2 linked regions of the Xenopus tropicalis genome follow. The main gene of each other region encodes a partner of the protein of the gene in region 2 in a complex. Links are inferred from orthologs where the notes say so. Each region holds a gene or a part of one and is shown on either strand. Other genes may lie near its edges.

Evidence for each region.
Region 1: the proteins of samhd1 (region 2) and dcaf1 are in contact, whole or in part, in a crystal structure (PDB 4CC9), measured with the Homo sapiens proteins. The link is inferred for Xenopus tropicalis from reciprocal best matches to the Homo sapiens genes SAMHD1 and DCAF1. Residues at the interface, in NP_056289.2 of Homo sapiens: Ser616, Arg617, Val618, Gln619, Lys622; in NP_001336097.1 of Homo sapiens: Asn1090, Glu1091, Asp1092, Thr1114, Gln1116, Asn1132.

Annotation. Positions count from the first base shown.
Region 1 is NC_030680.2:127,300,121-127,304,401, reverse strand, and holds the start of dcaf1 (DDB1- and CUL4-associated factor 1), read right to left. Parts: upstream 2,866-4,281; 5' UTR 2,523-2,865; intron 1-2,522. UniProt on the Homo sapiens protein: Acts both as a substrate recognition component of E3 ubiquitin-protein ligase complexes and as an atypical serine/threonine-protein kinase, playing key roles in various processes such as cell cycle, telomerase regulation and histone modification.
Region 2 is NC_030686.2:42,463,794-42,467,612, reverse strand, and holds part of samhd1 (deoxynucleoside triphosphate triphosphohydrolase SAMHD1), read right to left. Parts: intron 3,027-3,819; coding exon 2,866-3,026; intron 1,287-2,865; coding exon 1,171-1,286; intron 1-1,170.

The sequences.
Region 1 (4,281 bases), on a different chromosome or scaffold from region 2:
TTGAGTACTTATGTTTAAATACTTCTCAGTAAGCTGTTCAGGATACCCGCTCTTCTAAGCTATTAAAAGACTTCCAGTGCCAACATGGCCAAATTAAATCTACCAATTAAAGGGGAACTAAAGACTGGTTAAAGAGAGAGCTCCCCTAAGCACATTTTGAGAAAACTCAGACTCCTTAAAGGAGAAGGAAAGGCAAAAACTAAGTAAGCTTTATCAGCAAGGTCTATGTAAATACAGCCATAAGCACTCACAGAAAAGCTGCACTGAGTCCTCTATCAAAAGAAACACAGGATTTCTTGTCTTCATTTGTGTATACATGTACTTTGGTATCTGACTTCCTCTCTCAGAAAAATTCATCATTCCTGGGAGTCTTCACAGCTCTCTCCCTTCTCCTGCTACCCAAGCAGCCAAACGGAGGGAGTTTCTAGGGCTCTTTACTCGGTACGGTAATGCTTTTTTCAGAATAAATATATTGTTATAGGTGGCACTAATGTGGTGAATGTATTGGCAGTAAAATGCCAAAATGACTTTCCTTCTCCTTTAAAGTAGCACTAAAGCCAAACTTAAGAAATAGGCTAGAAATGTTATGCATTTTTTTCACGGCAACCACAGCCCTTTAGTATGGAAGATCTGTGCCCCCAAAGATGCCCCCAGTAGCCCCCCCATCTTCTTTTCTGCCGATTCCCTGCACATGTTCTGTGCTGCTTTCATTTACTGAGCTTAGGGGCCCACTCACTATATACTGTATATATAGAATATAAATGATAAGTAATTCATTCAGATTCACATAACATGGAAGCTCTGAAACCAGTGCAATTAGCATCAGGATTTTATCATCAGCCCTGTAGCATCAGTTTATATGACAGGCCAGTCTCATTTTCTGCTTGATAATTTGTGACAACCCCTAATCTTGGCTTCTCAGAGGCCACTGAGCATGTGCACTATCCCAGACAGAATCCAAGATGGGGAGCTCCCGTGACAACTGTAAAGACCTGTATCATTACAACTATAGAGATGCTGAAAGTTTTAGCTAGTGCAGTCAGTTTATTATATAAAATGCATTTCTAGCCTTATTCATTTTTAGGGTTTAGTTGTCCTTTAAATGCTCCCTTTCTGGTCTTGCACCAGTGTTCTGATAGATGTTGCATATACTGTTCATCACACAAACTGCATCCTTGAGTTTTTTAGTTGTATATTATAGAGAGTATTGTGTCCCTGTCAAATCATTAATAGGCTCATCATACCAGCCCTTAGGGTAAGGCCCCACAGACAATCCGTCAGTAGGCTTGAAAACTATTCTAACTGTGCCTGCACCCAGAAGCACTGCATCTGCCTGTGTGACACAGACTGACAATCCAGCTCGTGGGTGCTCAGGGTGCATTAGCCCAAGGAAACCACACTGCCCCCCCCCCCTCCAAAGCAAAGTGGAGTGAAATGGCTGTTGAGTTTGAAAGAGTGCTGCGCTGTTCTCATACTGTTGCTGAGCTACAATCCTCATAAGCAGCTAAGCCCACAATAACTTTTGTTAAATTACAGCACCTGGCATCCCTAGAAGTCATTCAAAAACATAACTCATTCATTATAAAAGCCACAAGTTAAGGATTTCCCTTCTTCACCATTATTATTCGGAACCAGCAATATCAAAATGTATCCTTGCCATCTGCCCGACTACATTTTACCAACATGCCCCAGGGAGCTGCAGGTCACAACAGCAGATGGACATCCCCATCTACATATCTTCATACCTGGATTGTTTACCTTTCTAGCTTTTCCCAGCACCATTGCTTTTCATCTTACTGGCTTGTCTATTCAAAGCCCACCTATGCCCAGAGAAGGAACTAGAGATCAAGTGGCCCCCATGTAAATAAAAAAATGAATGGAGTTCATAGCTGCCCTGCCGATGAGTCTTCCATGGTTGACTCCGACTGTCAGGATCCCTTAGGTGGGATGCAAGTTACAGGTCACCAAATGCCAGAGGGCTTCTGGCTGCAGTACAGTGTAAGGTTCCTTAACCTATAAGTCAGAACAAAAATGGGATCCCCAAACTCAAAAATGGCCTTGTCACAATAGCAAAGAGTTAATAAATGGGATGTAAACCCAAATAGACAATGTTTCTTAAGGAAAGAAATTGCAATTCTAAGCAACAAATCATACAGACATTTAAATACTTCTATCAGTTGCCATAGAAACCTGCAACTGTCTGTTCCTTTTTGCGCTACTGTTAGCGATTGTTAAACCAATGTAGCAGAAGTTAGTTACAGAACATGTGTATGTAGCTGCTTACAGTGACAGTCTAACGTTCGAAACTCCCTTCTATACTTGGGCCTCCTGAGGGAAAAAGTTTCCCCACACAGGACCGGCCGTGCTGCCAGCCCCGTTAGCTGTCACTGTCACCACTTGGCGCCCGAGCAGTTCCCCGCACAGACCCGGCGGCTGCCGCTGCCCCACTCCTGCTGCACCTCAGCCCCCGCGTCAGGCCTCCCCTCTCTGATAAGGCATGTATCCGCCAAATATCCACTTACTTCTGTAACCGGTATGTCGGTTGTTCTCCCCGACTCTGTACCAGTCGGTGTCCCGAGTCCTTCTCACTCGCGTCCTGCACTCAGGGTCCCTTTCTTTGTCCTTCCGTGCCCGTCCCTCTCGGCCTCTCCCTCGTTTCGCTCCTTGCTTCCCTGCAGCGCTGTCCCCCACTCCGGCCCCTACGTTTCGCCTCCTGTCCCTGGCTCTCACGTTCTCCCCTCACTACAGCCGCTTGGGCGGCGCTCACTTTACACGTCACCACCTTGCGCGCTCGCTTTTCCCTCTTCTACAGAGCGGAGTGGCATTATGGGTAGTGTAGTTTACAAAGAAACTACGGCGGCCAGTTTAGGACGTTCTACGACGAGCAAAAACAGCGCCAACATATCTTATTAGCTCCACCCCCTCACGCCTCTCTCCAAGGTCTCCCCTTTATGACTTTCCCTTCGCTGGTTCGTCTCCCCAGCGCCCCCGCCCTCATACAGCTGTCACATTTTCTCTTTTTCTGCCTGTCAGGCTTTCTCATTGCCACAATACACCTCTTGTCTCTTCCTTCTACCGCACACGAACTTACTCCCTACTCCCTAAAATTTCAAACAACCCTTTGAGACTTGGGGTCACTATGGCATTAATTGTTGGGGCCACTGTATCAAAAAGCGATTGGTAGGGGCGTCTTTACTAATATTGGTACCACTGTGTCATCTCTTGTTGGGACTTAGTAGGCCTGGGCTGGCAATCTGTGGGTTCAGGCAAATGCCAGAGGGGCTGCTGTAAGGTGCCATAGACAGTCACTATTTATTGGGCTGGGGGGGGCTGTTTGGGTCTCTGTGTACATGAAATGCCGGGGGCTACTTTGGGGCTAATGCATAATATGCAGGGGCTTTTCAGTCCCTAGTGCAGCCCTGGGGAAGTCACCCTCCTCTTCACGCTGTTTTTTTTAGTTGGGGGGGCCGTATTGCTAGCGCAGAGAGCGCAATAGAACTCTGCACTAGATGAGACAGAATTTCTTCTTATCAGGGCCGCCGCTCCTTATAAGCAGAGTACTCAGTCTGCATAGGGCACCAACTCCCAGGGGGGCACCATCCCAGCTGTTCAAAAAAACATTTCTATATATTATAACATACCCCCCAACACTGTCCCGCCGGTTTTTATAGCGCATCCCGCTGTCCCAGATAGTTTAATCAATCTATGGGGGCACTTACTATGGGGGCATTGTCTATGGGGGCACTGTGTGTGGGGCCCCTATAGTAGGTGTTTTTTTTTATTATTTTATTTTTACTTCCGTAATATTTGGGGGAGGGGGCACAAAAGTACATTTCTGCTTAGTGACCCATTTGGCCAGCAGCGGCCCTGCTTCTTATAAATCAAATTTCCAGTAATTACCAGGAGGCTTATTGCCACCCCCCGCGTTTCACCTGAGGTGAGTTTTTCCACTCTGCTCAATGCAGTTGCACCCCTGATAGTATGTGATTGGGGCCACTGCTTTATGACTGCATAATATGTAATTGGGGTGAAATAGGGTTGCCACCTGGGGTCATTAAAGAAATGGTTCACTGTAAAAATGAAACTCGGTAAGTAGGCTTTGCAAAATAAAAAAATATTTTCAATATAGTTAACCAAAAATGTGCATGTATAAAGGCTGGAGTGAGCAGATGTCTAACATAGCCAGAACACTACTTTTCTTTGCTTTTAAATCTATCCTCCCTGATAAGGATCAAAAGTAAACTAAGTGAACAGTTATGTTCTATGTGGCCCTCCCAAAGA
Region 2 (3,819 bases):
CAGATCAGGAGAATATGAAGCACAAGCGTAATGTAGTGCTCAGTGCTTAGGGATGTATAGGCAGCAAGACAAAAGTGTAGTGAATACACACCCAGCCCCCAATGTCTGCCCAACCCCCTTATGCCTGTTCTCCCTCTGACCAGCGCCTGACCCCTGAGGAGGAAAAATAGACCGTGGTCCCTGTGATCCCCTTCAGCCAGAGTCTGTGCCGGAGAACTGCCTTTTTGCTTGCTCTATTCAGGATGGAGAGCGGAGAATGGCCATGCGATCCGGAAGGAGAGAGTGAGCGCAGTGAAGAGAAGCGCGCGAAGAATGGCGCGAAGTAGCTGACGTCACGCGGCGAGCAGGAAGTGGAACGCATAGGTGGAACGCATAGGTGGAACGCATGGTGGAACGCAAGTGAATCGAAGGAACGGTAGAGTCGCATGGATGCCGTAGCTTGTAAGGTAATAGGCAGAGAAGCATGGTTGGAGGCAGAGGCAGGGCACAGACAGGCAAAGCTGAGCAGGGGGGATATGGGAACCAGGCTAAGGGGCAGCGCTGGGAGCATGGCTAAAAATGGAGAAGGCATAGTGGAAGAAAATAGGGGGGGGGGGTTGGTCGGGCTGGTAGCCTGCAGGGAGCCTGGCTACTAAGTTAAAGGCAATTTTAAAGCTGGATAGGGGCCATGGCACTTAGGAAACGCTGGGCAGCTTCTGCACTCTGTGTTCAGAGGCAGGGTATCTGCGGGGCTGTTCAGTAAAAACTTACGTGCCCCAGCGTCCTTAAATTATTCCCACGTAGGGGGAAGCCTGAATAGAGTGGCTCCTGTTGGAGACCTGTTGCCAGATTGAATCTGGCCGAAGAAATACTTGAAGAGAGAGATGATGATCCTGTCTCCTTGTGGGACACTAGAAAAAAACTGGCGAAGGCAGGAAGTACTGGGGGGTATAGCAGCAGGGAGGAGGGGTTAGCTCTCTTCTTCCTACTCTAGTGTCCTGCCTCCTGCTGGTACCTACTATACCCCATGGTCCCTGTGTCCCACAGACGACTGTTAGAGAAAAATACAATTGCAATACACTTGAGAATTGTCATGATTTGTTTAAAAATAAAAAAGGGTATGAATTTGCCGACAACAAAAAAGCAATGGTCATAAATACCATTGTGTCAACTGTTTGCACTGATATTTACCCAGGTCGTGACAAAGTCCGGCTATCTGAACACAAAGCATGTCCCTGTGGTTAATCTGAAGCTCTGGTTGTCTCTCGTGCAATGCCTGAACAAGACATCCAGCCAGGTATCCCACTCTGTAAAGTAAATCAAGAAATAATAAAGATGGTTCCACGGAATTGATTAACAACACAAGAGCATTTGGTTTAATTTGCCAGTAGCCTTCTCCAAAAGTTCTTATGGAAAAAGCACCCAACGTGGTCATAAAGAGATTGTTCATGGCAGCAAAAAGCACATACAGGTATGGGACCTGTTATCCAGAATGCTCGGGACCTGGGGTTTTCTGGATAAGGGATCATTCTGTAAATTGGATCTCCATAACTTAAGTCTGCTAAAAATCATTTTAATATTGAATAAACCCAATAGGCTTGTTTTGCCTCAAATAAGGATTAATTATATCTTAGTTGGGATCAAGTACAGGTACTGTTTTATTATTACAGAGAAAAGGGAATCATTTAACCATGAAATAAACCCAATAGGGCTGTTCTGCCCCCAATAAGGGGTAATTATATCTTAGTTGGGATCAAGTACAGGTACTGTTTTATTATTACAGAGAAAAGGGAATCATTTAACCATTAAATAAACCCAATAGGGCTGTTCTGCCCCCAATAAGGGGTAATTATATCTTAGTTGGGATCAAGTACAGGTACTGTTTTATTATTACACAGAAAAGGGAATCATTTTTAAAAATTAAACTTATTTGCTTATAATGGAGTCTATGGGAGATAGCCTTACCGTATTTCGGAACTTTCTGGATAATGGCTTTCCGGATAAGGGGCAGAACAGTGTGGCAATCATTCTCTCAGCATTATAGAGTGTAAGCTCTTTTGGGCAGGGCTCTCTTCACCTCTTGTATTGGTTATTGATTGCTTTATATGTTACTCTGTATTTCCAATGTATGAAACCCACTTATTGTACAGCGCTGCAGAATACGCTTTATAAATAAATGTTAATAATAATCTACCAAAGACTACACATACTGTATCTTGGGAACAGCAAAGGAGTTATCCAGGCTCCCAATCTATTAAGACAGATAACTACTGTTTCATTCTGGTTACGGTTTCCCTATTCCTTATCTCTCTTTGGCCAGCTGCTAAGCACTCAGGAAGTGAAACACTATTATAGCATCATGTTGCAGTTAGGAAACAAAAATAACAGTAAACCATAATGAGGAACCTCAAATACTTTTAAAGGCACACAAAGTCTTTGCGTAGGGACTTGCACAACCTCCTACAGACAGGAACACAATGGAGACCCCCTGGGTAAGGGGCAGCCATATTGGAAACCCCTGCTGTTAGGAAACAAGTGATAGATGCGAATAGAAGCATTTGTCCAGAGACACGCTGGCAGAAAACCCTGCAAAGAATTTTAATGATGTTGTCCAAATAAGTACTACCTGTAACCGTGAAGCACCTTTCCAGTTCATTTCTGGGTTATTAATGAAAAGCTTAAGTGACCTACATTGTTTCTCAACCAAAGGCTCCACTGCTCTAACTTCAGTGCATATAGTTCCACTCTTGGTTCTCACACAAACATTAGCGTGGAAAATAGTAAATATGCCTAATGTTGGTAAAGGGAAGGCAGAAATATGCCCTTATTTTCCCCAAAGGTGTAAAATATTGTATAAAAGGATAAGAGAGTTAATCATTACTATACCCAATGGAGTGCTCGAATCTGTTGTGAGAAGCCCCAGGGAAGACATAATAGGATCCACCGAGCTGTTTGATGTATCTCAGGCGCTGGAACTCAGGGGTGTCAATGATACGGACTAGCAGTGGGTGCAACTCAATGTGGCCATGGATTGGGTCATTGAACACCTGAAGAGGAAAATAAACAGGAATCAAGATAATTGGGCACTGACAGTTTTATGCAAAGAGCTAAAATGGCAGGAAATAACTTGTCCTGAAAAAAGAACCAGCTAAAAGATATTTGTTTATTCATTTGAAAAGGTCTCCGTTTCAAGTACGGACAGAAAGGAACAATAACTACAGCGGGTCTGCAAACTGTATTCTGGCAATTTCATATCAGTAACCAATCGCTGTTCATATGCTCCTATGTTGCCATCAAGTAAGCCTTTTTGGATATTTTTACTCTGCCCCTATGAATGAAGGCATTCATGCGACTTTCCAAAGCATAAAGGAACTGGCTGATCATGCCATTAGCTGTGCGCGTGCCAAATCTGGCAATATCCAACCAGCAAGCCCTTTAAAATCCAAGTCTGGGAAGGATTCTGTAGAGCACAGTGGGTAAAGGAGATACCCTTTATACCACTTCAATCCCATGCAGAAGTGGCATATAGATGTATCTATCTCTTTTAAAGGGTAACTCTGGCTTCGGAACTAAGATTTGTTAAAGGACACAACACAGAAACCCCTAATATCCCTATCACTGTAATCTGTTCCTTCAAAAAGTCTGAATAAATACTATTTGTATATGCTGAAATCCAGCTGCAAAACAGTTTTTCGCTTTCCGCGTCATTTGAAATCCTGGCAGGGGAGGGGGGACTAAAACATTGATGTTACAAATTGTAACAGCTTCTCCACAGCTTACAGACAGCATGCAGGAACTACATAACCCACAATGCATTGCACTGGGATGTTCCTTTCCTCA